4 linked regions of the Sus scrofa genome follow. The protein of the gene in region 2 binds, or shares a complex with, the protein of the main gene of each other region. Links are inferred from orthologs where the notes say so. Each region holds a gene or a part of one and is shown on either strand. Other genes may lie near its edges.

Region 1 (4,285 bases), on a different chromosome or scaffold from region 2:
GAAGCAGCAGGGGCAGCAGCAGTTTAAGCAATTCATCCTCTCCAGGGCGGATTTTCTCAAAGCACTCAAGTACCCAGGTCAGGAACTCATGTCTGTCCAGCATTCCGTCCTGTGGGCACCAGGGGTGGGAAGAGGATTAGCTTTGCCTAGGGACTATTCAAGATGAGGCAGAGAAAGTAAATGAAAGGATGAAGAGAACCACACAAGTGGGGCAAGGTGGCAGGCCGATTCTGTTCTATGCTGGCAGAGTGTGAGATCAGGCTCAATCCCACGCCCTATAACAAGCTCTCCTTCCTACCTGAAACATGAACATGGCCAGCTTCTCGTTGTAGTCCCACTGCCAGATCGCCACCTCTACATCATGGGGCAAGGGCCCTACAGTGGGACCACAGCCCCCACTTCCGGCAGGCCCTGGCCGGTAGTATTCAGCCATCTTTTGCAGCTGCTCCCATAAGTACTTGGTGATGATCTGAGTCCACTCTAGGGGAAAGATGGGAAAACGGCTATTTTATACTGTCCCTCTGCTTAGAACATCTTGTCCCCTGCTCCCGTCCACAGTCACCATACTTCTAAATCCTATTCAGCCCCTTAGGCTCTAGTCAAATGCCACCTTCCTAAAGCCTTTCCAGGTGTCTCCAAAAGAAAGTAATCTTTCTGTTCACTGAGTCTCAAAGAAACCTTCTGCCTCCATTTTTTATGTTTATTTTATTAACTTACATATTTTTATTTATTAATTAATTTACATATTTTTAAAAATTTTGGCTGTGCTCGCAGCATGCAGACGTTTCCCGGCCAGGGATGGAACCTGTGCCATGGCAGTGACAATGCTGGATCCTTAACCTGCTGCACCACTAGGGAACTCCTTGCCTCCACTTTTGACATTATGTTCTATATTTAATCACGGGATCTGTACATATGCCTTGGCATCCCTACTAGACTCTAAGCATCCTAAAGGCAGGGATTAAGTAGTGGTTATCTTTATAGCCCAGTACATGCACGGAGAAGGTACTCAAGATACTCGATGTTTACTAATGGAGTGAATGCAAGATACAAGCAGAAGCAAGGAATATAGATGAGGAAGGAGAATAATCTCAAGGGTCTCTCTACCACTGCTTGAAGTGATCAGTGGTGGGACCCCTGGTGTTAGAGGACTTACTCACCCGTGAAGGGGTCAACGACATTTCTCTTCTTAACCTTGTTCTCCGAGATTGCTGCATAGTAGGCACAGGTCATCTTAATGAGCCAGGCTGCCCGCATCACAGGCACTGTGTATTTGGCTAAGTACCCAAACACTTCTTCCTTCTTACTGAAAATGGGGACCTGGACGGACATCACAAATAGTGAGACCTCCATTACCCCCATGAGCTGGCATTCATGTAGCTTAATCTGGGAATCGGAGGGTGCTTGGTACCCACACTCCACTCCCTGGCTTGAAGAACAAGAAATGGTATCTCACCTTTTTGGCTAGTTGTGTGAGTGGCTTGGTGCCAGCCAGGTCAGTGAACCAGGTGTTAATGGCACTCTGGGATCGTGCAGTCACCAGCCAGAAGTTGTCCTTCTGGTTCACTTGGGGCTTCCTGCGACCAGTGTCAGGGAGGGTGTTACAACGTAACTTCTCTGCAATAATGCTGCTGAAGTTGGAACTGATCTGAGGGAAGAAAACTACACCTCAGGGTGGGAAGAAGGGGTAGAGAGGTGGTTGTGCCTTTGATAGGCAAATGCCAATGTGGTAGCATGAGGTTATGAAGGAAAACTCAGCCATTTAGGTGGTCCCTTTAAGTCTTCCCAACCCAGGGCCTTTGCGCCTTCTCAAATTCTTCCAGCCTTTTCCTTCAGCTTGGCAGGGTTGTCTCACCTTGGCAGGATTGAAGTTGACGTTCTTGGCACTGCCATGTTCATCCCCAGAGACAGCGGGCTGGTTATTGAAACCTTGTTTTACATTCAAGGCTGTCAGTTCATCCTAAAGCGGGAAAACGACATGTTAGCCCCCGCCACGGGGGGGGGGGGGAAGGTTGGTGGTGGGAGAGGGCAGAAGAGAAGGGAACATGGGGAGGGGGGAAGGGAGGAGGAGGATTCGGAGTAGAACAGATTGTTATTTAAAGCTAGGCCCTAACATTCATTTGGACCCCACCCTCACCCCCACAGTCACTAAGATTCCCAATCCCCCAGAGCTCACTCAACAGCACTCTTCCCCTGCGAGCTTGGAAGCAGAGCAGCCGTTGCTCACCCAGCTGCCTCAGACAACTTTCTGAGGTGTGTGTGTGTAGAGGGGGGCGCCTCCAGCGTGGCCCCGATATCACTCCCAGCTGGCACCCAGGAACCACCCCCCACCCCCACCAGATCCTACTCTCCTACGCCAGCCCACTTTACTCTTCCCCCTTTCGGGACTTTCGCTCCCGGCGAACCGCCCCGCCCCCCCCCCCCCCCGCCAAGCTTTCAGTGCTTCCTCTTCTGCCGATCGCTGGCCCCCGGCCCCTGGGGAGCCCGGATTTTTGAACGTACCTCCTTCTGTTTGGGATCTTGAGGGTACACATCCGGAGGCCCCAGCCGCGGCCGCTTCAGGGGCCGGTGTTCGTAGCTCAAGATCCCGAAGGCCGCCATCTTGCCCAGCCCGTAGCGCCAGAGGCGCCAGCCGGGCCCGGCCGCTGGGGGAGGGGGAGAGGGAGCCGAAAAGGGGGGCAGCGGAGGCGAGGACGGCAGCCGAGAGACAACAAGGGGGCACGTTAGAAACTCTCGATCATTGCCGGAAACTACCGAGGTAAACCGAGGGACGCCGGGAACCGTCGGACAATACCGACCGCGGGGTAGGGGGGGGAACGGGGGCGGGGCCCACCCGGCGTGGGGCGGAGCTCGGCGCCGGGGGAGCTTTTTCTGCCCCGGCGGCCGCAGATCGACTTCACTCAGTCAAGATCTTTGCGACATTCGCTAACCCTGTGCTGGACTGGGGATGCGAACCCGCGAGGCGGGAGGCGGCCACCGCACCGAGCTCCGGTTAGAATTGCGTTCCCAGCACCTCCCTCCGTTCCCGGCCTAGAATAAATAAGTGCTTGATCGTCTGTGCGTTTGTTGGGAACTCTGCCTTTTCCAAACTGCTTCTTCATTTCTCAGGTTCCGCATCTGAAAAATGGGTGTACTAACAAACACTTCCTTCAAGGGACTGTTGTGAAGATTAGAAACGATGTATGCATAAGGAAACACATATTAACCCCCCCCCCCCCCACACACACACAAAGGTCGGCTCTAATCCCTCAAGGTCCCTATGGTCTAGCACTGAGGTTCTTAACCTCTTCTGATTCAAAGTCCCTTTAAAATGCGGTGGAAGCTACGGCCCTTCTTCCCAGAAAAAAAAAAAAAAAAAAAAAGCACGTAGAGATATACAAAACGTTAGACACTTTCCACGGAGATTCTTACACACACACCCCTCCACGAAGTTCATCCATATATACTCCGAAGATTCAGGAACTCCAGGTTAAGAACGCTTGCTCTATAGAAAGAGGCACCTATTAAGTATCAGATGCTTTTCAGACATTATCTCTTTTAATCCACAAAAGCCCCATGTGTTAGGGATTATTATTGTCTCCATTTTGTAGATGAGGAAGCTGATTCTCAAGGAGTGGGAGTTGGTTTATATAGCTACTGAATAACAGAGCTGAGACTAGGGTTTTTTTCCTTGACTCTTCTTTAAGTGGTATATCATATCATTGGCTATTCTATTTTTTTACCTGCTTTTTAATTTAATTTTATTTGCTTTTTGTAGGGCCGCACCTTCAGCATATGGAGGTTCCCAGACTAAGGGTCAAATCCGAGCTGCAGCTGCCTGCCACAGCCACAGCCACTGCAACAGGATCCTTAACCCACTAAGTGAGGCCCGGGATGGAACCCGAATCCTCATGGATACTAGTATGTCAGGTTTATAACCCACTAAGAACTCCCCCTGCTTTTTTAAATTGAAGTATATTTGGTGTACAATATTGCATAAGTTACGGGTGCACAGTATAGTGGTTCGTATTTTCTAAAGGTTATACTCCATTCATAATTATAAAATATTGGCTACATTCCTCATGTTATACAATATATCTTTTTAGCTCATTTTATACGTGATAGTTTGTATCTTATAGTCTCCTACACCTAAACTGTCCTTCCCCCTTCTCGCTTCTCCCAGTGTAACCCCTAGTTGGTTCTTTGTATCTGTGAATCTGCTTTTTTGTTACATTCACTAGTTTGTTGCATTTTTCAGGTTCCACATATGAGTGATATCATACTTTTTTTTTTTTTTTTTGTCTTT
Region 2 (4,070 bases):
ATCAGGGGTCCCTGCTGTCCACAGGGCTCCTCACTGTTGAACCTCACCCTGATCTCCATTTCCCTGAAGATGGATTATCTGCCTCAATTACTGGGAATCCTGCAGGTGACATTTGTCTCTTTCCCCCTGTGTATTTATTTATTTAACTGTTTATATCAGTACAGACGCCTGGACATTCGCTTTCTTGTTTGGGTTACAACACAATATCCTTTCATTTTGTTGCTCAGATTGTTCCAGGTTTGGATACTGGGAGCTCTTTCAGTGATTCCTGTCTCACTGAGGCGGGGTATTTATTTATTTGAGCACCGGGCTCCTCTGCATATTTGTGCTGCCTTCTAGAACCAGGCATTTCGCCCAGGAGCCCAGTTCCTTTCACTGGGGCAACGTTTAGAAACCAAGAACTGGGTGCTAAGTGTGCTGAGTTCCATTTTAACAGGCATTTTAAAAAGTTTTAAACACAGATGCTAAATAATGGAAATCCAAATGGCTCAGAGGACATCAGGAGATACTGGATTAACCAGCTTGGAGGCTCCCACCTGTGAAGGGGACCGAATTTCTGGTGCCTGGAGGCCAGTCTGGACTTCAGGGCGCGGGTGTGGTGGCTCTAGGGGACTCCACAGGCCTCCTGCACTGACACACAGACTCGGTCCTGCGGCTGCCCCTAGCTGGCTGTTTTCTTCCCACTCCGATTCCCTGAGCCCGGCCCCCATACCTTTGCCCAGGCGCTAACTGCAGCCCAGTACACCTTCCCCGAAATATCAGGAGGTCTTCCTAGAAAAGACTTTCCCAACTGGGGAGAGCCCGACAGAAAAAGAACCAGCTTTTGATAGCGGGAGACGAGTGAATCCAGAGAAGCCCACGACTGGTTAAGCCGTCTTGCTTACGGGGAAAAGAAGCAAGGAAAAGCAAAATATGGAACGCTTCACGAATTTGCGTGTCATCCTTGCGCAGGGGCCATGCTAATCTTCTCTGTATCGTTCCAATTTTAGTATATGTGCTGCCGAAGCGAGCACGACACCGGGGTTAACCCGACCGCTATTTATAGGGCGGAGTATAAAATACTTTACGCTAAGGGTGAATTCCGTTTAGAAGAAAAATACTCAGTAACTTGTCTCTTCTTTTCTGATATCAGTGCAACAATAGCTTAACAGAATGAGGCTACTCACTGAAGTTGAGAAAGTGTTCTTTCACGAAATATAATTCGGGTGGCTGTTGGGAAACTATCAATGTATGTATGCAAATTATATCGGTAGTGGGGCGGGGCCGGAGCCGCTGCTGTCCCAGAAGTCTCCGGGAAACGGCCGCGCTACGTGGGCGACTCGTTGATCCGGGGAAGATGGCGGTGCCGTAGCCGCGCCGATAGGTGGAGTGCAGGCCGTGGCCGTCCGCTCGGCTGGGAGAACAGGCCGTCCCGGTGAGCGGGGACTGGGGACTTGGGCGTTGGGCCGGCCTCAGGACGGTGCCTACGGCCGCGGCGGCGACTAGCGGGCCGGGGGCGGGGCCTGTAGGGTTAGAGGGCGGGCCTGGAGAGCAAGGGGTGCTGGGTACGCGCCCGGGAGCACGTTGGGCGGGGGGGGGGGGTCGCGACGGAAACTTGGGGGAAAGTCTGAGGCGTCTGGGAATCCGGGCACTCCGAGCTGGGGAAAATCGGGGCTGGGCCTGGAACCTGATCAGGGGTTGGGAGGTCTAAGGCTGTATTTTCCTGGGGAGGGGCCTGGGGATTCTGGTGGGCTGGAAGGCGGCCACTGGAGACCAGCACCTGGCTATTGGGTAGTGGTCCCTGGGGTGGAGCCTGAAGTGGCAAAAAGAGGCGGGACTTGGAGGGTTGGGAATTTGGAGGTGGTTATAGGGAGGCGAGTTGTTTGGGAGACCCTGGGGAGAGAACAAATTTAAGCTATCCCTGGGAACACAAGGGGCAAATTGGGACTGGGGTCTGGAAAGCAAATATTGTAGGGGGCGGGGCTGGAGAGCTTTGAGGGCAGAGCTTAAAGACTGCTGAAGGGGCCTCTGGGCAGGGCCTTGGGGTTCCTGGCCAAGGCTTGAGGAAGCGGGAGGCCTGGGGGAAGTGATTGAGAAAGATGGGTTGGTCATACAGTCTCATTGGGTTCTGGTAACGGTGAAAATAACCGTAATCAATGCCCGGCACATAGACAGCAGGTGGAAATGTTCATTGTTTCCGTTGCGGTTGTTACCTTTGAAGTGCTGCACCAAGCTGCTGCCTGCCCCCCATCCTGCCTCCTTGCCTCTGCCAAAGGCTTCTCTAAGGATAGAGCAGTCCCACCTCTCCTCACTGCTTCATGGTCCCCATCATTGTTCACCTGGACTGGCATGGTCACCCCCACCCTGTCCCTAAGCCTTTCTCTCCAGACAGCCAGAGGGGTGTGTGAAACATAAGAAGGTCTCAGCTCCCCTGGGGCTCCCACCTCACTCAGGGTGAAAGCGCAGGCCCTGCATGACCCACCCCACCCTCACTTTACCCCTCCCTTCCTCTCACTCAGTTCCAGCAACATGGGCCCCCTGCCGCTCCTTGATGACCCTGGGCTTGGTCCAGCTTCTGGGCCTTTGCACTGGCTGTTCCCCCTGCCTGGGATATCCTTCCTCCAGGCTGCATTCCTGGATCCCTCACTTCTACGCTGGGAGGCCTCCCTGGCCATCCATGTGTCAGATATAGCTCCCCTGACATACACAGAGCAGGGATTGAGTCTTTGGGTCCCTGCAGTGACCCACCATCCAGCACTGCGCTCTGGGCCCTGAGGCCCTGCATGAACGTCTGTGACAAACTGGTCCTCCCTCCCTCAGAAGCTGGTGACCGCCCTCTGTGTATGACCTTGGCAGCCGGGCACCATGGACCTGGCGTACGTCTGTGAGTGGGAGAAATGGCCCAAGAGCACGCACTGCCCTTCGGTGCCCCTGGCCTGTGCCTGGTCCTGCCGCAACCTCATCGCCTTTACCACGGATCTCCGAAACGACGACCAGGGTGCGCCCCCTCCTGCCCCCCGCATGGGCTCGTGCCCCAGTGCCCATGGACCTCCAGGCCTGTCCAGTCTCTCAGGGTTCCCTCATGTGTGATGAGGGGTGGTGAGGGCCCAGAGGGCACCTGGCACCAGGGGGCACTGGAATCACCCCCAGGGGATGGACCTGTCCAGATGAGGGTGGTCCCCAGCCCCTGCTGAGGCTCCTGCCTGAGTTTTCCAGACCTTATATGTCACTGCTTGGCTTCTGAAAGCCTCTGAGCTGCAGCCTGCCTGCTGGGCCTGTGTTCTCGCTATTGTTGAATGACACATGCTCCTAGAGGAAAGGAGAAAAACACAGACATTTTGGATGAGGGGAAGAAAAAAAGGCATTACCTTCCCCAGAGAGCCACTCTCTGTTAGCATTTTGGGTTTGTTTTTTTCCAGTTCCATTTTCTATGTCTCTTTTGAAAGTGGTTGTAGCCTCTCTGGAGGCAGAGTCATGGACCTGCTCCCATTACCCCTGGGGTCATCAGGCACTCGAGGCCCTGCCATTGTTGCCGCTGACCTGGCCCTCCTTTGCAGACCTGACCCGCATGATCCACATCCTGGATACGGAGCACCCCTGGGACGTGCACTCCATCAACTCGGAGCACAGCGAGGCCATCACCTGCCTCGAGTGGGACCAGTCAGGTGAGGGTGGGGCTCACCCTTGATCTCAAATCCCAAGCTTACTTGTTCTGTCTTTTCCTGGTCATGTCCCCACTGTCCAGAACTAGGATGAAAGCCCTGGCCTTGTGGCTTTTCGGCTCCTTCTCCTCCCATTTTTGGTGACCAGAGTCGTTCCTGGGAGACATGTGTGCCATGCCCCTGCTTGTCTCCCATCCCAGGCCCCAGATGTACTGGGGGGGGTGCTTTGTGACACAGGCTTGCCCCCCTCTTCCCCTGCAGGCTCCCGGCTGCTGTCGGCCGATGCTGATGGGCAGATCAAGTGCTGGACCATGGCAGACCACCTGGCCAACAGCTGGGAGAGCCCAGTGGGCAGCCTGGTGGAGGGGGACCCCATCGTGGCCTTGTCCTGGCTGCACAATGGTGTGAAGCTGGCCCTGCACGTGGAAA
Region 3 (4,256 bases), on a different chromosome or scaffold from region 2:
TTCTCTCCTCCTTTGCATCGAGGTCAAGCCTTGAGGGCTGGAAAAGAGCCTCCCTATGGTGGCATTCCTCTGTACTCCCATACTGGAAATGTTGGTTACTGATTGAATGCTGGAGGGAAGGTCTGCTCCCAACACAGCCCTAGTAAAGTGCCTGGGAGTTAAAAAAAAAAAAAAAAAATTTCTGGCACAAAGCAGGAGATTAGAAAGCATTTATGCAATGAATGAACGCATGCTCACAGTGCCTAGGAGTAAGGGTTCAAAAGGCATTTCTGCATTTCTTAGTGCCTGGTATTCAGTAAGCGCTCCTGGGCGAGGGTAATAAACCTTAGTGCAAGAGCTTAGCTTCCCTGTGCATGGGTGCAGGGGTTTGAATCCCATCTCCTCCTCTTCCCAGCTGTGGGCAAGTGACTTAATCTCTTTGTGCTTCAGTTTTCTCATTTGCAAAACACGGACGACAGAGTGAAACCTTGAGACACGTGGACATGCTGTCTGGCCAACAGCGAGCCCCACCACCCAGTCGCCCAGGCCGTCAGAGGCACAGGTTAGGGGCCCCAGCTCTCCGCGGCCACTGCCACAGGCATTCCGGGGGTGAGGTAGCGCCGCGTAAAGATCCTAGCACCCGAGGGGGCGGGGCGCGGCGCCCAAGCGGGGCAGCGCACAGCAGCCTGAGGCCGCTCGCCCGGCCGCTGCCAGCCCGGCAGCCGCGCCGCCCGCACTTCTTTCTCTCCCTCCCCGTCTTCCTTCTTCTCCCGGCCGGAGAATCCGATCGCACTCGGCTCAGCAGCGCCGCCCGCGAGCCCCGCCGCCGCCGCCGCCGCTCAGGGCCCCTCCCCCGTCCCCCCTCCCCGCGCGGCCGGCGCCCGTCACGTGATAGGGCGCTAGCCAATGGCGGGCCGAGCCGCGGTCGGCGGCCGCCATTGCTGTCAGAGTGAGAGAGCCCGGGGAGGGAGGAGAAGCGAGGCTGACTGGGGAGGAGGAGGGGGGGGTGGGGGAGGAAGAGGAAGGAGGGGACGTCGCTCGGCTGCCGGGGTCGCCCGCTGGCTTCGTCCGCACCCCCCCTTCGCGAGTTCGCGCTCCGCGGCTGCGGCGGCTCCGAGGCGGCGGCGGCGGCTCCGGGGCTCGCCTCCTCTCACGCGCCGGCGGGGGCCGAGGGGGAGTCGGTGGCTGGAGATAAACAAGGCGGCGGCGGCGGCGGCGGCTGAGGAACAGGGAAGGCGGAGGCGGCGGCCGGCCCGCAGCGCCGGCCCGGGAGGCAGCGGCGGCCCTGAGAGGCGGGGAGGGCGCCCGGCCGCGCGGACAGCGCCCCCCGCCGCCGCCGGAGCCGCCGCCGCCGCCGCGGGAGCAGGAAGGAGCCGCGCGGCCGCCGCGGACCCCCCCGCCGGCCCGGGCCCGCCGCCCCCGGCGCGGCGTCGCCGCGGCGCCTCCCACCCGCCCGGCGGCCCTCCCGCCCTCCCCCGGCGGCGGCGGCGGCCCGGCTGCCCCGCGCTCTCCGGCGAGGCGCTGCCGCCCGGCCCGGCCTCGCCTCGGACGCCTCGCTCCGACATGCCCCGCTCTGGCGGCCGGGCTCGCGGAGGATCATGACTGCGGCAGCGAACTGGGTGGCGAACGGGGCGAGCCTGGAGGATTGTCACTCCAACCTCTTCTCGCTGGTGAGTAGCCGGGCTGCAGGGAGGGGGCTATGCCGGGGTGGGGGGGGGTCCCCGACCTCCGCCGCCGACCTCCGCCGCAGACCAACTTTCTCCTCCCGCCGCCGGGACTTCGCCCCTCCCTCGCCTCTCCCCGCCGTTCGCCTCTCGCTGATTCTCCCCCTTTTGGATCGTCTCTCCCTCGCCTTGGATCCCATCCAGTGTTTATTTGGCTCTTTAAAAATCATTTGTGAGCGCGGCGCTCGGCGTGGAATTTGCATGTAGAAGTCTCAAAGCTGCGGATTCTGGGTCGCACTTCGAACGCCCACCCTCTGTTGCCATCGCACTCCCCTTCCCCTCCCCTTCCCCCCCTTTTTTTCCTAAATGTGGAAAGCTTTGCCTTGTGCTGCCCGCGCCTGCGATAAGCAGCCTTTTTCCCCCCTTGTCGGATGGGCTGCCCGCCCGCCCGCCTTTTGAATTTTTAAAAAATTCCATAATGACACCTGCAATTTCGCCCGAAAACAGTTGATTGAATGCGATTGTGTCAGTAAAGGACTCTTGCACCCGAAGCTCCCGCGATTGTAAACATCGACAGCCGCCTGCCTCTTGGGGCTTACTACGCTGGAGAGCCGTAAAGCCATTGCACCGAGCCGACGGAAGGTGGAGAAAGCTTTTTCTTTTTTCTCTCCTCCTGTGTTTTTTAAAAAACTGTTTTCTCTCTCCTAACACACACACACATACACACACACACAGCAGCAGCAGCAACAAGCTGGGCGGTTTGATAACATCGCTTTTATCTGCCTTCATCTCCCTCGCGCTCTCTCTCTGATAATTGACAACTTTTCCTTCGGATTTGAATCGCCTGCCTTAATCTTGAAGCAGTTAGGGTGTCAATTGTTCTCCTGGAAGCCTGGCACCCGACGACGGCGTCTAGATTCAGCGAAATTAAAAATGTATAGGGCTCCAGCAACTCTTTCCTGGCGGTGGCAGTGACATTTGGTGGTAAATGCCATCTTTGCTTTTTATTGGGTCGTATTACCTAGCTCTGAAAACATTCACGTTGTTAAACCTGGCGTTTAGGCTAATAATTGCAGTGCGTGGTCTTTAAATATGTGCTTTGTGCATGGGTTACTGTATATATAGCTATGTGCCCGGGAGACTACGAATTTGTTTAAATATTGAGCAAAGATTTGTAAACAGATGTAAGGCAATTATGTTTCAGGCGTAGAATATAATTGGAAAATTGGCTGAACGGTTTGTTTAATTTAGCCTTAAAAAAAGAAAACCCCAACTTATTTTAAGTTTTGTATCCTTTTTGGGGGGGACTGCCTTTGGAGAGCTTGCATTTTTGAAATTGTTTTCTGTAACCCCTGCTGTAGATAGGAGCATTATTTTCTCTTAATCCTTGTTTACACTGGATAAATAATTTAGTGTTCAAATTGTAATTAGTTGCATTTAATTATGGGTAGCATAGATGCTTTTTTTTTTTCTTTGAGACTAGTGGAGAAATACAGATTCTTGCCAACTTTTCAAATGGAAGCTTTATTTTTTTAAATAAATTTCATTATGCAGATAAAAAAAATCAAAACGTGATTTTTACCTGCAAAGACCCAATGACATAGTATCTTTGCTTTCACTGTAATAAGGTCAAGTCAGTTTTTTCAACATTTTTATTTAGATATTTAATCTTAAAAATCAATGATAAGTTGCGAGTCTTCTTTATACTGTGAAAATTTTCCCTTGATCTTTTGCTATGTGGAACTAAAACTCATTTTGCTGCTGCTTTGCTCCTCTCAGTCTGTCATTTAGTATTAGTCAGATGCAGGGACTTCCATAGATTAGCAAACGTATTGATTAAGGGGTATTTAAATGGTTTTTGTTTGGCGGCTGGTGACCACTTTGACACTTTAACAGGGAATTAAAATAACCGAGTAGACCAGTATTAGTGAGGAGAGATTCCAAATTACCATATATCATGCTGACTAGCAACGGCTTGTATGTATGTGGCTAATTTATATACAGTACGTTTTGTAGACAAGTCAAAGTACATGTGTAGCCTGTCTTTTGGAGATATCATTTTTTTATCTTTTTTTTTTTTTTTAAAGCTTAAGTAAGAATGATAATGTTATAGAGATAAGATGCTTAAGATTCTTTTGGAGAGGCAATTTGTATGCTTTGCTGTGCTTTATGACTGACTGAAGGTTTATGCTTTAGATTTTCTAACCTTTTTAAACCAGGAATTGATTTTTGAATATACTTTTTTTTTAAAAAAAAAACAATTACTCTTTAGGTAGCAACTTTGAAATGCAGAACTGCAGCGTTGTTTGGGTTGATTTTTTTTTTTTTTTAAAGGACTGTAGAATGTCTACATTCTATTGTATGTAGAAAGTGGATAGGTACAAATTAAAAAAATTTAGGATTCAGAGCTGTTGATAATTATAAATTTTACTCATTGCAAATTGAGAATTTTCTTGAAAATTAGATATAGCAGCAACCTAGAATATCAAAAATATTTTGCCTAAAGTACATTGTTTGGAATTGTTCATTCCAAAGGAGATAAAATCATCACCTGCTCAAAATAAAGCATGTATTATAAGAACTTGTGGTGCATAATAATAGCATACATTTTTC
Region 4 (4,231 bases), on a different chromosome or scaffold from region 2:
GAACCTCCATATGCCACAGGTGCGGTCCTAAAAAGCAAAAAAAAAAAAAAACAAAAAACAGAGACAATAGTGCAACCTTGGGGCAGGTCCAGATTCCTCCTCAAGGAATATACATAGTATCTTTGAGCCCTTCTGCAGAACTATTACTTGATGAAGTATGAAGCATTCTTCAGTGGAAAAAAGGAGGACCACCAGAACCAGTCCTGGGGCCACTAAACAGGAGCGTGAGAAACCGTGCAAGTTTGCCTCGACCCTGGTCCTTAACTGCGGCTCTATTTTCCACTCTTACACTGTAAAACCATCTCCTAATCTCTCTCAAGGGGACCATAGTCTTTAGGGCACTAACCTGCTCTGGCCCTCCTTTGGCAGAGCAATAGAGATATCTTTTTCTTCTTCACCCAAAACCCTGTCTCTGTGCTTCAACTGGGCATCGGAGGACAGAGACAGAGTTTTGGCAACACTACCTGCCTCATATCCTAGCTCCCCTCCTCGCACCGGTTTCCTCCGTGCTACCTGAGATTCTGTCTCCCGGGCCTAGGTCCTAATTTTGCTCCAAATAAAACTTAACTCTCAACTTTTAGGTGAAGGTCTCCAGCCACCCTAAATCCGGCCAGGGCTGGGTCTCCCATTCCATTACCTTTGCTAGAGTGTAATACGCCCCCCTGGGTTTTTTTTTTTTTTTTTAATTCCAAACTATTATCCTGCCGGACACTTTTCAGCCTACCACTACCAACTACCCATCCTCTTTCTCGCACCCACTCTCGCTACTCACCCAGCCGCGTGGTGCGATCTTGAGGTGCCGCCGGCCTGTCCCCGGTCCCATGCTCAGCCTCGAGCTCCTCTTGCTGCTGCCGCGCTTGTTGCAAAATCCGTCGGGTCAGCCGAGGCCCCACGTACTCCTCCTCCTCTTCTCCGGTTCCGCGACCCCGCCGCTTTTCCCGGGTCCCCGCCCGCACCGCATTCCCAGCCAGGATTTGGTCGGCCAGGGGCGCATGCTTTTCCTGACCCTCGGCCCCGCGGGCGGCCTTGAGTTTGGGCATTTCGCTAGAAAACCTCGCCGGGAAGTTTCACATGTGGGGACAGAGGAAAAGCTCTGAGTGCGCCGGCGCAGGGAACTCCCCAGAGGCCAGACGGTGATTACAGCGCCCCCTGGTGTTCGGAGGCCGGACCTGCCACCATCCCCGCCCCACCCCCTGATAGAGCTCCTGAGTCCTGGAGCTGGACTCCCGAATAAACTCATTGCAATTAACATCGCCTTCTCTAAGCAGTGGCAGTCCAAGCCACGCTTTCTTAGCTTCATGAATCTAGGCCCGGGGTGATTTGTCGAATAGGAAGTCCCCGAGCTGCAAGCCTAGGGGGCGGAGCCCTGCAGTGACGTCACTGGAGGCGCCTGTACGCCCCGTTCCTCGTGGCCGCCGAAGGGACTCGCACTTTTTACGTTATTTCCGGAGCACCTCCTACTACCGAAGCTTTCGTTAGGTCGGTGGTTTCACCTCGCGTGGGCTGCAGCAGAGCACTGCGTATCAGCTGTTCAGTACTGTCATCTTCCTGGCCTAACATCATGGGAGTGACTTGGTAGGACTTCAAGGGATTTCGTGGGGCGAAGCTTGGGGTGGTGAAGGGCCGGTGGAGCCTCCAGTGTCCCCGAGAGGAGGATCGGGATCAGGGTCTGAGAGAGATGCCCTCGAGTTGTGTGGGTGAGGGGACCACTGTGAGGGCTGCGAAATCTGCGGGCCTTTTTCCTCGGAGATGCGCCCCTTCTTTCTCAAAGGTGGCAGGTTAAAAATTTTTATCTTAAGAATCCACCAGTGGTCGCGTACCTCCTTCCGTTTTTCTTGGTATATTCTTCCTGCTCGTCATCCCACAGTACTGCCTGGGGTCGGAAATAGTATGTCGGGTTTAGGACCCATCTGCAGTCAAGGTTGGATGGGTTGTGGGGAGGGAGATAGACAACATTGAAGGCAGTATCTTTTTTAGGTTTTTGCCCTTCCCTATGGCCACTAAATGCAGTTAGACCAGCCTGTGTCTAGTTCTAATTTGGCCATTTTAAGATCTCGGGTCTAGAGGGGGAAAAAAAGAAGCTATTGGGAGTTAGGAGATTGGGATGTTAGGCACATCACCTCCTCAGAACCTGTTTCCTACTATGTTTAATTACATGCTTGGTTTAGTTTCTGTGGACTTAATATCTGTAACGTGTTATGAGTCAGAGTGCAGGGAAATATGGGCCTCATGCTCTTGGAGGCATTAGTTCCAAAATGCTAGATTTCAGGGCTTAAAAGAAAAAAAAAAAAAAAGGTATCTGGAGCATCTTTCCAATCAGAGAGGGCTAGAGGCCAGGGTATCAGGAGTCAGTGGCTATAGAGTCTTCATATAAGAAAAGAGCCTGTGGGAATTCTTCCTCCCAGTCACCCAAGTCTTGCACACTTGTCAGTGACTGCACATTTGCTTCCTGCAGTTGACATCATGAGCCTCTTTGGAAGTCTTTTAGTGTAAGGAGGATGTGAAGAATGGAGATGAAAAGTTTCCTCCGCAGAGGCATGGAATCCTGGAAGCCCCTGTTGTTTTTTTCTTTTCTTTTTTAAATTAAAATATAGTTGATTTACAACATTGTGTCAGTTTCTGCTGTGAGGCCCCTGTTGTTGTTTTTGTTTTTGTTTTTGTTTTCTTTTTTCTTTTTTTCTTTTTAGGGCTGTTCCTACAGCTTTTTTTTTTTCTTCTTCTTTTTTTCTTTTTAGGGCCGTTCCTGTGTCACATGGAAGTTCCCAGGCTAGAGGTTGAATCAGAGCTGTGGCTGCCAGCCTGTGCCACAGCAATGCCAGATCCGAGCTGCATCTGCAACCTACACTACAGCTCATGGCACCGCCAGATCCTTAACCCACTGAGCGAGGCTAGGTGATCGAACCCATATCCTCATGGATACTGGTCACATTCTTAACCCGCTGAGCCACGAGCAGAACTCCGAAGCCCCTGTTCCTTCAGTGCAGAAGGCAGACAGAGGGAAAAGGCCCTCTGTTGGGACCCTTCTCGACTTTTCAGATTCCTAGTACTTTGGACCCCAGTTGTATCATCTAAGGGATTCTCTTATTTTTCAAAATAAAGGCCATCATCATTGTGGCTTGTTAGTGCTCTTCCTGATGGAGATTACTGACAATTTGTAGCAACAGCAGGGGTCTGTTTTTATATTTTCCTTTAGTTGATCATAATTGGTCATAAAGTAATGCAGTACCTCCCAAAATTCAGCCACATAATGATTGTCTTTATGATTTTTATATAACTTCATAGCACTTGAACTATTTATTTTTTTTTAATTTTTTTTTTCTTTTTGCCATTTCTTGGGCCGCTCCCGCAGCATATGGAGGTTCCCAGGCTAGGGGTCTAATCAGATCTGTAGCCGCTGGCCTACGCCACAGCTCACGGCAACACAGGATCCTTAACCCACTGAGCAAGGGCAGGGATCGAACCCACAACCTCATGGTTCCTAGTCGGATTCGTTAACCACTGCGCCACGACAGGAACTCCTAATGCTTTCTTTTGATTCTGTTTTTTTCCTTATAAGTATTTTAACAGACAACTGTATCCTTAGGAAAGCATTCTTTTTTTTTTTTTTCCTCTTTCAGCTGCACTCGAGGCATATGGAAGTTCCCAGGCCAGGGACTGAATCTGAGTCACAGCTGTAAGCTGTGCCACAAATGTGGGAATGTCAGTTCCTTAACCCACTGCCCCAGGGCAGTATCAAACCCATGCCGTCACAGAGACAATGCTGATCCTTAACCACAGTGGGAACTTGGAAAGCTTTCGGTGGAGCATTTAAGAGCATGGACACGGAGCCACCTCACTTGACTACACTGCATTAAGCAGTATGACCTTGTGCCAGTTACTCAACCTCTCTGTTCAGTAGTTTTCTCATTTGTAATGAAGAAATGATTATGCTGTGTCTTATAGGGCTGATGCAAGTTAATTCATCTAAAGGCTTTGGGCACTGCCTGGCTCATAGTTGGTGCTTGGTAATTATTACCTACCACTTAAAGTAGAAGCCAGTTGCACTCTCCATAGAAGGAAATCTTGGAAATAACTTTTTATCTCATTGTTTTGGCTAAATTCTTGTTGCCTCTCACTCTCAAAGATTAGAAACTTGAGGCTTGCTTTCTCTTTGATCCAAGGATCCTTAGAACTTTCTTCATTGATGAAAATGTTCTATGTCACTGTCCGGTACACCAGTTCCTAGCCACTT

What was found. Proteins that work in one complex are often made in the same cells at the same time.
Region 1: MED16 (region 2) and MED12 share a complex: the UniProt entries of both Homo sapiens proteins name them as parts of the mediator complex. The link is inferred for Sus scrofa from reciprocal best matches to the Homo sapiens genes MED16 and MED12.
Region 3: MED16 (region 2) and MED13L share a complex: the UniProt entries of both Homo sapiens proteins name them as parts of the mediator complex. The link is inferred for Sus scrofa from reciprocal best matches to the Homo sapiens genes MED16 and MED13L.
Region 4: MED16 (region 2) and MED20 share a complex: the UniProt entries of both Homo sapiens proteins name them as parts of the mediator complex. The link is inferred for Sus scrofa from reciprocal best matches to the Homo sapiens genes MED16 and MED20.

Annotation. Positions count from the first base shown.
Region 1 is NC_010461.5:57,149,399-57,153,683, reverse strand, and holds the start of MED12 (mediator of RNA polymerase II transcription subunit 12), read right to left. Parts: upstream 2,801-4,285; 5' UTR 2,602-2,800; coding exon 2,503-2,601; exon of another isoform or gene 2,442-2,502; intron 1,961-2,441; coding exon 1,856-1,960; intron 1,649-1,855; coding exon 1,457-1,648; intron 1,321-1,456; coding exon 1,161-1,320; intron 481-1,160; coding exon 299-480; intron 110-298; coding exon 1-109. UniProt on the Homo sapiens protein: Component of the Mediator complex, a coactivator involved in the regulated transcription of nearly all RNA polymerase II-dependent genes.
Region 2 is NC_010444.4:77,489,683-77,493,752, forward strand, and holds the start of MED16 (mediator of RNA polymerase II transcription subunit 16), read left to right. Parts: upstream 1-1,270; 5' UTR 1,271-1,414; intron 1,415-2,799; 5' UTR 2,800-2,844; coding exon 2,845-2,977; intron 2,978-3,536; coding exon 3,537-3,644; intron 3,645-3,902; coding exon 3,903-4,070. UniProt on the Homo sapiens protein: Component of the Mediator complex, a coactivator involved in the regulated transcription of nearly all RNA polymerase II-dependent genes.
Region 3 is NC_010456.5:36,062,573-36,066,828, forward strand, and holds the start of MED13L (mediator of RNA polymerase II transcription subunit 13-like), read left to right. Parts: upstream 1-1,456; 5' UTR 1,457-1,577; coding exon 1,578-1,649; intron 1,650-1,728; exon of another isoform or gene 1,729-2,285; intron 2,286-2,330; exon of another isoform or gene 2,331-2,627; intron 2,628-4,256. UniProt on the Homo sapiens protein: Component of the Mediator complex, a coactivator involved in the regulated transcription of nearly all RNA polymerase II-dependent genes.
Region 4 is NC_010449.5:37,071,351-37,075,581, reverse strand, and holds the start of MED20 (mediator of RNA polymerase II transcription subunit 20), read left to right. Parts: upstream 1-1,431; 5' UTR 1,432-1,561; coding exon 1,562-1,575; intron 1,576-4,231. UniProt on the Homo sapiens protein: Component of the Mediator complex, a coactivator involved in the regulated transcription of nearly all RNA polymerase II-dependent genes.